Canis lupus familiaris: one gene and its partner. The main gene of each other region encodes a partner of the protein of the gene in region 2 in a complex. Links are inferred from orthologs where the notes say so. Each region holds a gene or a part of one and is shown on either strand. Other genes may lie near its edges.

What was found. Proteins that work in one complex are often made in the same cells at the same time.
Region 1: the proteins of KCND3 (region 2) and KCNIP2 are in contact, whole or in part, in a cryo-EM structure (PDB 7W6S), measured with the Homo sapiens proteins. The link is inferred for Canis lupus familiaris from reciprocal best matches to the Homo sapiens genes KCND3 and KCNIP2. Residues at the interface, in NP_001365898.1 of Homo sapiens: Val5, Ala7, Trp8, Leu9, Phe11, Ala12, Arg13, Ala14, Ala15, Ala16, Ile17, Gly18, Trp19, Met20, Pro21, Val22, Ala23, Asn24, Cys25, Pro26, Met27, Pro28, Leu29, Ala30, Pro31, Asp33, Trp54, Arg60; in NP_775283.1 of Homo sapiens: Arg112, Gly113, Phe114, Asn116, Glu117, Cys118, Val123, Phe128, Ile131, Tyr132, Gln134, Phe135, Phe136, Tyr144, Leu148, Phe152, Phe165, Leu169, Ile172, Leu173, Arg180, Trp183, Ala184, Leu187, Tyr188, Met201, Met205, Ile208, Met211, His228.

Annotation. Positions count from the first base shown.
Region 1 is NC_049249.1:14,610,193-14,616,945, forward strand, and holds the start of KCNIP2 (Kv channel-interacting protein 2), read right to left. Parts: upstream 4,290-6,753; 5' UTR 4,087-4,289; coding exon 4,014-4,086; intron 1-4,013. UniProt on the Homo sapiens protein: Regulatory subunit of Kv4/D (Shal)-type voltage-gated rapidly inactivating A-type potassium channels. Modulates channel density, inactivation kinetics and rate of recovery from inactivation in a calcium-dependent and isoform-specific manner.
Region 2 is NC_049238.1:64,428,442-64,433,619, reverse strand, and holds the end of KCND3 (potassium voltage-gated channel subfamily D member 3), read right to left. Parts: intron 5,174-5,178; coding exon 5,117-5,173; intron 3,970-5,116; coding exon 3,722-3,969; intron 3,324-3,721; coding exon 3,252-3,323; intron 3,011-3,251; coding exon 2,809-3,010; 3' UTR 2,240-2,808; downstream 1-2,239. UniProt on the Homo sapiens protein: Pore-forming (alpha) subunit of voltage-gated A-type potassium channels that mediates transmembrane potassium transport in excitable membranes, in brain and heart. In cardiomyocytes, may generate the transient outward potassium current I(To).

The DNA of each region.
Region 1 (6,753 bases), on a different chromosome or scaffold from region 2:
AATCATCTTAAGATCCCATTAAACCAAGTAATTTAGTAAAGGGTTCTTGTGTCTTTTCCCTGTTCTGCTGCAAGTTTCCTCCATTTATCCCTGCAAGGGGCCTTGCCCCTTATATCCACCTGCTTAAGTCCCCCTCCTTTATCCTCTGTGAGAAGTCCTGCCTCACACCCTCCACCATTTGAAGGACCATGATGTCCCCAATCCCTATCCTTTCCTCTTTGGAGACTCCTATCCTCTACCTTCTCGGTAAGGTACGTGACCTTATCCCGAGCTCTACTCTGTCAGGGATCTTGCCCTTTAAACCCTCTCCTTTGAGGGATCCTGCTCCCTCCATCTCTGTGAGGGGCCCTTCCCCTCCCCACCTCTGTAAGGCTCTTATCCCACTTCACTCACTTTTCGAAGGGTCCAGCCCCTTCCTCCCTTCCTCATACCTGGCGACAGCGACCCAGTCACCAGCTGGTAGAGGGATCTCGCTGCCTGCCCCAACGGGCTCCGGCACCTGCGGGGGCATCGGTTCATGATTCTGCTGAGAGCTCACTGGCCAAGCTCCGCCCCCAAGGCCCCAGGGCGGTCGTGTCTCCGCCCCCACTCGAGTGGGCGGAGCAGGCGGGCCGGACCTGCGGGACCAGAATCTCTGACCGCAGGGTTTTCTTCCACTCGCCGGGCCGCACAGGGGAACGCACCGCGGCCCCCATCGTCTAAAGCACCTATCCTCACCCAGTTCCTAGACTGGGCTAGGCGGGGCACGGGGGTGGGGGAGGGAAGGGACGGACTCTCCTCACAGCCTTCTCTGGGAATGTTTTCTGGATTTCTAGTGGGGAGGGTAGGCACCCACGGGTTTTGAAAAAGGAGCTGGGGGAGGGGATAATGAACCTTATTCTTTATTGCCCCTCTTCAGCCCTGCCTTCTCTGCCTGTCGCACACCTCCTCCTCCCAATTTGGCACGGAGAAGTGAAGGGGATAAGCAGGACACAGTTGTCATGGCAACTTCCCACACTTCCATACTTCTAGACCAATGGGAGAGCAAGAGGAAGGAGGAGGAACTGGGCATCGTAGTGGGGTGGCAAAGAAGAGGCTGCTCTGAATTCCTTTCTCTCATAACTTTCTGCTTTGTGTCCCTCTATCTTGCTCCAGTGGGTTCACAGATTCTCCCATTGTATGCTGGCTGCCTGCCAAATGCATGAAGAAGCTCTCCTCGCCTCAGTCTCAGTCCCAACCCTTTGCAGGACTCCTTTCTATAGGGCTGTACCCAAAATAAACCCTTCCAGGACCCACTGACGCCTTCAAACTGCTGGGACAGCCTACATGAGAGACATAGTTCCACTCCTCCTACTGGAGGATCCTGTATTTTTGGCAGAAAATTCTACATTCACGAGGCAAGCATTACCTCCAATCTCCATGCAAATTTTGCCACTTGATTTGGCGGCGACATCCCCATTTGGAATCAGCTCTGTAAGCATGGCTGCCCTACGACCACACGGGGGCGCCCTAGACTGGGGAAATGATATATCTGACCGGAGGGACCCGAGTTCAGGCCTTGGCCTGCCAGATCCCAACTCTCTACTCGTCATCCCTAGTCCTTGCTTTGCTTCCAGGTTGGACAGGACTGCCACTGATTGCTGCTTTTACTCACCACGCCACACTTCCAAGCAGCCCTGCCAGGCTTGGAAGACCAGAGGGAGTAGATCTGGGGCGGAGTGGAGTTTCAGATTCTCCCCACTCCCCACCAAAAAAAAAAAAAAAAAAAAAATCTCCAGCTTTGGGTCTGGGGGAGTGGGGGAGGTAAGTAATTGGGGTACTCCGGATGCCCTGATAAGTTAAGGACTCCCTATCAGCCTGATGGACCAAAATGACGGAAACCAAAGACTACCCCCATGTCCATCCCAGGAATCGGGCCTGCACAGGGAAGACACTTTGGGAACTAGGACCTCCTGGCAGTACCTCTGTCCTGGAGCGCTCTTCAGCACCTCGGACAACGACTCCCCTTCAGGCTTTAGCTCAAGCGTCTCAGGGCACCCAGCACTTTATCAGGGGGAGTCCCAACCTCATCTGTCTCCTGTTGTAAGATAAGCCCTCAATCGAAAGGAGAGCTCCTGGTAACACTATTTCTACTTTCCAAGTCGTGAGTGGAGCTATCTACAGGAGGATGTTGATGATGAGCATCATTCTTGACACTTGTCAACATTTGACCTATTTCCTTTGGGAGGCAGACAGCAAGAAGTAGTGTTCTCCATTTTAGAGGTGAGAAAAGTGAGACCCAGATAGCAAAAGTAATAGCCCATTCCTGCTCCCCAGGAATACAAGTGCTTCCCCACCTTCACCTAGTCTCTGATTCAAATAGCCAACTGGGGAGGGGAGGATTCCACTAAAGGGGAGAATCAATTAAAACAGGAAACAAACACTGACTAATGTGGTGTTAATGAACGCCCTGGGGCCTTACTACTCTCAAGCATCCTGAGTTGGTGAGAACACAGTTCAAAGCAGAGCTGGACGTTGGAGTCCATCCGAGTCTGAGCCACATCTAGGGCACACCTAGGGCCTGCTTGAGCCAAAAGGCTCTCCCTTCTAGGAGTCTCAGCATAGGAACTAGGGCTTCCCTAGGGTCAATGAGTATGGGAGACACTCTAAAGGCATTAGATCCTAGTTGTCATCCTCATCCTGGAGACTTAACCTCACTCCCCTAAGGACAGACAAGGATCATGGGCTCCCTCCACCTTCCCAACTTGTTTCAGACACAGGAGACAGTCTCCCTCCTCCCATCCATTGTTGGAAGTTCCCGGGCAGGCTGTACAATGAGACAGAAAACACATACGCACATGGAAATGTATACAAGGTAACACAGTCACCTACACAAACACATGGGTCTGCCTACTAAACCCAGAAATATATGCAGGCCCAGGTTACTCCACACTGTGGGAGACAGAGCCTGCCTGGGCAGCAAAGTGGTTTGGGGAGGCCACAAGGCACCTTCCAGGCCAAGTGCTTCTATTTCTGGGTCTGGAGGGGAAGAGGGGATATTTTCCTTCATGATTGGATAAAGTTCTGGGAGGGTTGTTGAGGGCTAAAGGAGCTTCAGTTGAAAGAATGATCTCTGAGTACTTTCTTGGGGGTGGGAGATGATGACCCAACACTAACCAAAAACTCCCCACAAGGGCCAGGCGTTGTTCCTGGGAGCCAGGCTGGGCAGACACTGGTGTCCCTCCTTGGGTCCACCTGGGCTGTTTGTGGAAAATGTGGGGAAGCAGTAAATGTGTGGTAAAGGCCCCCTTCTACACCAGGAAACCAGAGAGGCAGCAAGGGTAAGACATGTCAAGACACTCACAAAAGCCCACAGAAGACATTGCCTCCTACACAATCAGCATGGAATGCTGATATAATCTGCATATTCTCACAATCACAAAACACAATGCTTGCCCCAGGAGGGTCACAGTCATAAAGTCTTACAAAGAGACATACCACCATAAGGTGAAGCCCTGACACATTCTGATAGTCACATGTCACTTCATACAGAAAAGCACAAAGCACAGAGTTGCACATTGAACAGAGACATGGTCAAAACAACTTCATTAGTACAACAGAGTCCTACACAACCTTATTCAAACATCTGACAAGATCATACAATTGCACAGCCAACAAAATCACACTTACCCTATCAATATACCAAGCCTAGGGCACATGGCAACCAGCTGAGGGAGGCGCACACACATATACACACAGACACACACACAAAGAATGACAGGCGCTCACGCACGTAACACCTCCCACTCCAGACACTCTCCTAGCTTTGTGTCACACGCCCACACCTGCTGCCTCTCCCCACCTGCCTGCCTGTCCCCCCACCCCCCACGGTTCCAAAGGCTTTGGACCCCAGTGTCTTGCTGCCCAGAACAGCCTGGAGGGTGCTTAGGAATGGGACAGAGTGTGAGTAAGGGCCTGGCCAGGGTCAGAAAGGCTTAAGGGTCTGGGGGATGGAATCTACATTCCCTCCCACGACCCTTGAGCCCCTGACTCACCTGTGAGCTGGTCATAAGATCCGTCCAGGTCTCGGGAATCGGATAAACTCTCCTTGCGGCCCTGGCCCCGCATGGCCCCCGGCGCCCCCGTCCCGTCCCGCCTGGGCCGTGGGAGGGGGCGCCGGGTGGCCAAGATAGGGCGCTCACACGGCGCCCCCTGGTGGCGTTGCTCGCTGTCTGGGCTGGGGCTGAGTCTGGGATGGACAGGGGTCCCGCTGGGGGTCCTGGGGCAGGAGCAGGAAGCTTGGGCAGTAGGTGAACGCAGAGCCGGAGGCAGAGCGGAGCTAAGCACGGAGCCAGAGCCAAGCCGCCTCTCTCCTCCCGCCCCCTCCCCGCGGCTGTCACCGCCGCCTCCCCCCTTTGACGCTGCCGGGATTGGCTCCCCCTACCCCCGCCCCCTCCTCTTTGCAGCTCGGGGGAGGAACCCGGTGAAAGGGTGAGCTGGGAAGTGCGGGGAGGGAGACTGGTTTTCCAGCAACACTACCCCCAAACCTGAAGCCACGGGTTCTGGCGGTGGAGGAGGGAGCAGGACCAGAAAGGACCCACTGTGAGGACCTTCCCCGTCCCAACTCTTAGGCACTCCTTCCCCCACCATCAGCACTGGCCAGGGTAAGTCTCTGAGCTACCTGTCCAGTCTCACATCAGCCCCCATCTTCTCTGTTGTTCTCTTCCCCCATACGGGTCTCCGGGTCTCCGTGCACTCTCACCAGTGCCCACCCTGCTAGGAGGGAGTTAGGGATGCAGAGCATCTGAGAGTCTGTTTTCAGAGCAAAGGTCAGCCCAGCCTCTAAGAGGCTCATCTTAGGCCAGTGGACCACAGTTCTCTCTTCTCTCAGAAAGACCTCAACCCTCAGCCTGCAAGAGCTGTCCCTGAGCCATATTCACAATGAGGGTATCTTCTTCCCTGATCTCAGGAGCCCCATTGGCCCACTGGAAGAAAAGGAAGAGTGAGCCAGGTCAGTTTCTCAGGACTTTGTTCTTTTGTTCCCTTTCTTTTTCCCTTTCAAGTTTCCTGCCCTTCTCTCTTATCACTTGCCCTGTCCTACATTCCTTCTGTTTTCTAGAAGATTTGAGGAGTGACTGGTGTGGGGAATCCAGGTGAGGATACAGAGTAAGAAATGCCCTTGTTTGAGGCCCACCTCCCTTCCCTTAGTTTAGCTCCTTTTCTGAAACCAGGGACTATCACAGAGCTGGGCTGCCACCTGCTCTCCTAAGAATGGCTTCTGAGTGACTGAGCCACTTGTATAACCTTCCCCAGACTCTTTACTGGACTGCTAGCAAAAGAGCCCCCAACCCAAGGAAGGAGAGAGTGTTTGGAGGGCCTGAGTAGTATGGTGGCAGTATCCTATGTGGTCTTCCTGCCTGCCCAATGGCTCCTCTGGAGGAGTAACCTGCTAAGACTGAAACCTTCAGCTAAAGTGACCCCAGCACATTTAATGTCTTCAATTGGATTTAATTCCCAAACACTTGATTCAATTAACTCAGCAGGAATTGTGATAGGAATTCAGGCATAGGAGGGGGACAAGCAAGTACAAGGATTATCTTTGGGAGCAATGCCCTAGCTCTCCCCCCGGCTCTGGAAGTTTCTCCACAAACTGGCACGACCTTGGGGGCATGGACAGAGCATGGGCACCTCCTTTGGGGGTTGAATTCTAGATGATGATGGGACTCCCATCTGGAGTTCTTAAAACATATAGGTAAATGGGCCAAAAGATGTGCTTTTACAATGGAGGGCAAGGAGTCTTGCTACTGCTTCATGCCCTTGTTCATTTCATAGGAAAGGAATCTATAAGTAGCAAAGGCAAGGGAAGCTACACCTCTTTGAAGCTAACTGGCTTCCACTAGGGCCAGGAGACTTAGGAGGAGAGGGAGACAGGCAAGGGTGCCCTAGGCAGATGGGACCAGTACCTGGAGATTACTTTAACTCTGTCTTTGAGAAATGAGTTCTGAATAACAGAGATGAAGAAAAACAAATGAACAAAAAACACTAAAAAGACTGTCCCATACAAATCAATTTTTAATAACTTCAACTTGCCACCATCTTCCAGCTCCAACTCCTCTAGGGCTTATCACTGTGGAGAACACTATAGGCCCCAGGCTGAGCTACCCTATCTAGTGATCAGATGACCCAGCCCCTGATCTCTTAGGAATCTGCATCTATACACGGCAGCATGCTGGTGGATTCTCTGGAAACAGTGTGTATTTGTTCAATGTTGGAGCCACAACTCTGGTTCCCAGGAAGGCAAGAATACTAAAGAGATTTGAAGCTAAGTGGAATAGCAGCCAGGGAGGTCCCAGAACTGCTCTCATTGCCAGTTTCCTGCACTTACTCCGAGTCTTCCTATGCTGCTTGTTCCCTGCTAACCTGAGGGCTTTACAAAGTGCTTTAGAAGGGGGGAAATCTCAGAGCTGCAGCTACTCTAAAGGCAGCTGTGGGGTAGGGAAAGCCTATAGTAGTCCCATAGAGGCTGTCCAGAGGAGGAACCACGGGCCAATTTCCAAAAGGCAAGGAGACTTGCCTGTGGCTCCAGCCAGAATGTGGGTAGACAGAATGGCCTCTGTGTGATGCTCACCTGGCCCCTTTTAGATGGAGGGCACCCTGCTCCCAGCAGGTTCTCTCCCTTCCCAGGCACCAGACCACAGCAGGAACAGATTCCTCCCCAGAGGAAATTCTTAGGCAGGCTGGATGTAAACAACAGCCGGGTGAGGGGGCGGAGCAGTGGAGGGGAGCTCAGCAGAG
Region 2 (5,178 bases):
TTGGACCAGAGGTGGGCTGGGCCGCTTATCCTTGGCTAAGGCTACATTGGGGGGATGGAGGTGAAGGGGATAGCCTAAAGTCTTAGGAACTGGCTTAATGTGGGATTTAGAAATGAAATTCAAGAAATACAAAGCGGGTCATTAGAGCCAAAAAATGAGAAATTTGGGACATGATTTTAAAAATCTGTTCATTAATTTTTGTGGAAAGCATAAATACGTTCCCTTGGTGCACAATTGGACGGATCCTGGGTTGGATGCTGTCATTATTCTAACCCTGTGATGGTCTGTCTTCAAACACCCGCAGTTTGTATGTATATGTGACCACGTTCCTATTTCCCTCTTTACCCCTCACCTTCCTCAGTTTTTATGATGCAAACTTAGGTACTTTGAGACTCCTAACTTCATTCCATTACCATTCTTTCAAAGGAAATGTTCTGTTTCTAGTCCTTTGCCTCATGTCTGCAGGGGCCCCACCCAGTCTTTTGCCTTCCCTAAGGGGGCATGTGTACGAAGTGAAGGATTTAAGTACCTGTTCTCGGGTATGTTTTTAGATTGTTGTTTGGTGTGTGTGTGTGTGTGTGTGTGTGTGTGTGTGTGAGAGGGTGTGTGGGTATGAGTGTATGTGTGTGTGGTGTCTGTGTAGGGTGTGAGTGAGTGTGAGGGTGTGTGTGTGGTGTGTGAGGGTGTGGGTGTGTGGGGTGTGAGTGGGTATGAGGGTGTAGTGTGTCGGTAGGTGTGAGTGGGTGTGGGTGTGTGAGGGTATGTAGGGTGTGTGTGTGGTGAGTGTGTAGGGTATGAGTGTGTGTGTGTGTGGTGTGAGTGTGTGTGTGTGGTGTGAGTGTGTGTGTGAGGGTGTGTGTGGTTGTGTACACGTATATTCCTCTGCTCACGGACCAGACCACCCATCCTCATGTTGGGGGAGTCCCTGAGGCCAGACCCAGAGGAAGGAGGCAGTGAGTGCTCAGCGAGGACAGCGCGAGATAGAGGCAAAGGCGCGGAGTCGTCTGCCCACCTGCCCACCTGCCCGCCTGCACGCCTTCTGGTTAGATGCCCGCAGGACCACTGACCTTCCCTGTCCACAGGTCGACACGGCCGGGCTCACAGGGAAGCCCACCGAAGGTATTCGCAGGCTCCTGACTAGGGAGACGCGTCCAGGCAGTCGTGTGGGTGGCGGTTGGCGCCTGCGGTGAGACTGCCGGCCTCCGGGTAAGGGGCTTGCGTGCCCCGGAGCCCAAGCTGGGCGGACAGCCACGGAGCGTGGGAAGGGCTCCTCACTAGCCTCAGGCCTCCGAGCTTCTCCAGAAGGAACATTCCACTCCCTCCCTTGCATGGAGGTGATCAGGCTTCATTCTCCACTCCAGGAACCTTCAGGGCACTGGGCCTGAAGACTCTTCAGACCTCAAACACTTTTCAGATCAGGTAAGAATCATCTAGAATGGCTTACTTGCTTTCACGCTGTGGAGCGTCCTTCACGAAGCACACAAGCCGAATCTTCTGCAGCCTCTGGATGGGCGTTACCTCTGTCGCAAGGTGAGCCAGAAGCTTACCCTTTCTGCAGGAAGCTGCTTATGGGGCCTCTTGGCAGAGTTCTGGGTGGGTTTTGTGGTGAGTCCCGAAAGAAGGGTACATAGCAAGGTGCTCCAGGGCCAACTGCAGCCATGAGCCCGGTCCTTCCGCTCTCTCCTCACTGGCACACACAGACCCAACCGTGCCTCCTAGGGATTGGCCCCTCTCCCGTGTCAAGATCCCAGTGTGAAAAATCTAGTCCTTCCCTTTCCCCCCCAGAAACGGAAACTGCAAACACCACTGGTTCCAACCACAAGGGAAGCGCTCTGCTCGGCATAGTGGACTTCCCTCATCCCTAAACTTTATTCTTTCCTCTCCACAGCTGTGTTCACACAGATATAACACCCAGGCACGAGCCTGCAGGTGCCTGGAACTGGAGGAGGCTCTACTAACTTGTCTCAGGATCACTGGGGTCCATGTGAAGACGGATGGCAGGACACAGAGAAAAACAGCCAGGGGGCGAAGCAGAGAGGTACAGAGACAAAGGACAGATGGAGGGAAGTGTTGCCATGTGGTCAGATGGCAGCTCTGTGCAGGTCAGCTGGGCAGTGGGGGCCCAGGCTCACGTGACCTCACCCACCTGGGGGATGGAGAGAGAACTCAGCAATAACTGACTTCTTAGCTTAAAAGCTTCTTCTATAAAAGGAGAAAAAAAAAACCTTCACAAAATGCATTGTTTTGGTTCAAAGGTATTGGGTCCATGGAGAAAAATATTTCACAAAAATCCGTTGGTGTTTTGTTTTCCACCTTTTCCCATGAATAAATATTATCCATTAAGAGCCTTGAAAAAGGTGCTTAAATACACAGTGTTATATTTTCTTCCTGTTTTGCATGTGACAACTCGGCCCCTGTGCTGCCCTTGATCTTGTATTTTCCTCACCAGGGTCTCCAAAAACAGCTGTTCTTGGGTCTGAGGCAACTCCCCCTTCCAGGCCCTGCCCTGGCACGCTGCCTCCATATCACCCACTGCCACCCCGTCCCTTACTACCCTCCCTTCCTCTGGCCCCAGCGAGGTGCAGGATCACAGGGCCCGGCCGTTGTCCATGTCCCCGCCAGCAGCGGTGAACCTCAGGTGCCCCTTTGCCACCTCCTTTTTCCTTCCAGGCACAAGTTGTCAGTGCTAGGGGTGTGACAGGGCAGGCAGAGAGAGTGGGGAAGGTGGGGGAGTGGTGCCGGTGGCTGCCCACCTGCAGGCCAGCCCCCTTCACCCTCACTCCCTGCACTGGCCCTCTGTCCAATGGTTTACAAGGCAGAGACCTTGACAACATTGCTGGCTATGGAAGGAATGTTCGTGTTGGGGCCGGGGCTGGCGGGGGCTGGCCGACTTTCCCCCTCTGGGGTTAGAGCTGGGGGGGTGGGGATGCTGATGATGGCTGTAGTGATCTGGGATGTTTTGCAGTTTGGTCTCAGTCCGTCGTCTGCTTTCAAATTAAGGCTGGAGCGACTGGGATAAAAAAAGAGTGAGTTGGTGACGGTTCTTCCTGCCATTGTCCCAGCGCACCCTCGACCTCCGCAGGTCTAGCTCATGGCAACCAGGGCGAGCTCCTGCGGCCCTCTGGCTCTGCTTTTGCTAGTCATCCCGGAGCTCTCCCTTCTAATTAGTAATTCTAACAATTGCAAAGGCAAGTTACACGGAGCTTTGGAATTCAGAGTATCCGTTTTTACCTTGCTCATAGACTGTTTACCTATCATTTGTGGCATTTGACTTTTGTTTTCCCTGAATTCCTTGCGACTCATTGGAGGTCGTGGGAAGTGGCCTAAGTATAAGTGGAGAAAGGAGGAAAAAGGTCAGTCTGTGGTCCAAGATCAGCCTGGGATAAGTCATGTCTAACACAACTGTGAAAACTGTTTCCCTGAGAAAACATCCATTCTATGCACCGGGACAGGTTTTCTTTGTTTCATTTTTTTTTCTTTTTTTTCCAGTTACTGTTTCTGGTCTCTAACCCTACCTTGGGCCTAAACCCGCTTCAGCATCCTCCCAAGCATAAGAAGGGCCTCTGGGTTAACTTGCAAGGATGGGAAGGAAGGTGGAGGAGGCTCATGCCTCACATGAGTGGGGAGGGAGGGCTAGCAGTTCTCCCAAGGCTGAGGCTGTTCCCTTCTGGGACTGGCACGACTCAAGCCTTGGGGAACGATGGGGATAGAAGCCACCCACCTGGTCGTGAGGGAGGGCTGCTCACTGCCCTGGATGTGGATGGTGCTGAGCTCTTGCATGCTGCGCAGGCGAGTGGCTGGCAGGTTGGAGTTGGGCAGGTGTGTGGTCTTCTTGCTACGACGGGAGCAGCAGGTGGTCGTGAGGCCCGGGTGACTGGACAGCGAAGGACTTCTTGTGGATGGGTAGTTCTGCATCGAGCTCTCCATGCAGTTCTGCTCAAACATCTGCTCATCTATGAACTCGTGGTTCTGTGGGAAGCAGAAGGAGAAGGGGTAGGAAAAGGGTATGGCAAGGAGGGGGATGAGCCCCCGTGCTCTGTGTGGCTGCCTGTCTGTCTGGGCCTTGGGAGGAGGACACCCAGCTGCCTGGAGCACAGATAAGCATACGGGAGGGGCGATGTCCCACAGGCATCAAATGCGGAAAGAAAAAGATTCCTATCGGCAGCCCTGGCCATCGGGTTGAATGGTGGGGACTGTAGCCATTAAATCCTGATGGGATATATGCTCCTGCTGTGGCTTTGAGCTGATACAGAGGGCCTGGAGGCATTTAAGGGCTGCTTCCTCAGAACTAGAAGCCCACTCGACTGACTTTGCACAGGATCTCCCGGAGGTGGGAGGTGGCAGCGTAAGGAGGGGCTGACTTGGGGGCGAGGGTACTCTATGTCTTCAGTGCTACGTTGGACTTAAGGGGTGAGATCCTTATGAATCTTGGGGAAGTGTGAAATATAAGCTTTGAAAGGCACTGGATTATTCACAGAAGTGAAAGAGCCCTGCGCTTGAAGGCTGGGGTCAGACTGTAGGGTTATGATCATTGAGGTTTGTTTTCTCCCACCTGACCACAGGATATGGATCCTTAATATATCCAGAGGCACAGGAGTCCCCGAGTCAGATGTACACATAGGAAGGAATGCGGAGGTCTCCTGGTACTGAACCCAGAATAATGGAAAGATGGCTGTTTGGTCAAGGTGACTAAAAACCTATGGCATTAATGGTCTGGCTGAGGCCACCAGTGTGAAAAGAAAGTCCAGAGAGAAGTAGCATGAAAATAGAGGGGGGAGGGAGAGAGAGAGAGAGAGAGAGAGACCGACCAGCCCTGGCAGCCAGTACCAGGCGTCCCCGCGGGGCCTGAGGAAGTGGCACATGGACACTCACGGGGCACCAAGGTGGGCACCTTGTTCCGCCGCCCTCTCCAAGCCCTTGGGAGAAGCAGTTGGGTAGTTTAGCACAGAGCCCCCAAAGCCTGAGCTGCTACTGGGTGCAGCAGGAGAGGTAGGAAAAGCCCCAGAAGAACTGACAGCACATGCAGAGAACCAGACCCGGGGGTGAAAAGAGGAGAATCCACAGACTCAGGAGAATCAGAGAGGAAAACATCAATTGAATTTTTAAAAAGTTATACCTTGATGGTGGAGGTTCGTACAGATAACAGGGGATCATCCACAAGATAGGACAACCCCTACA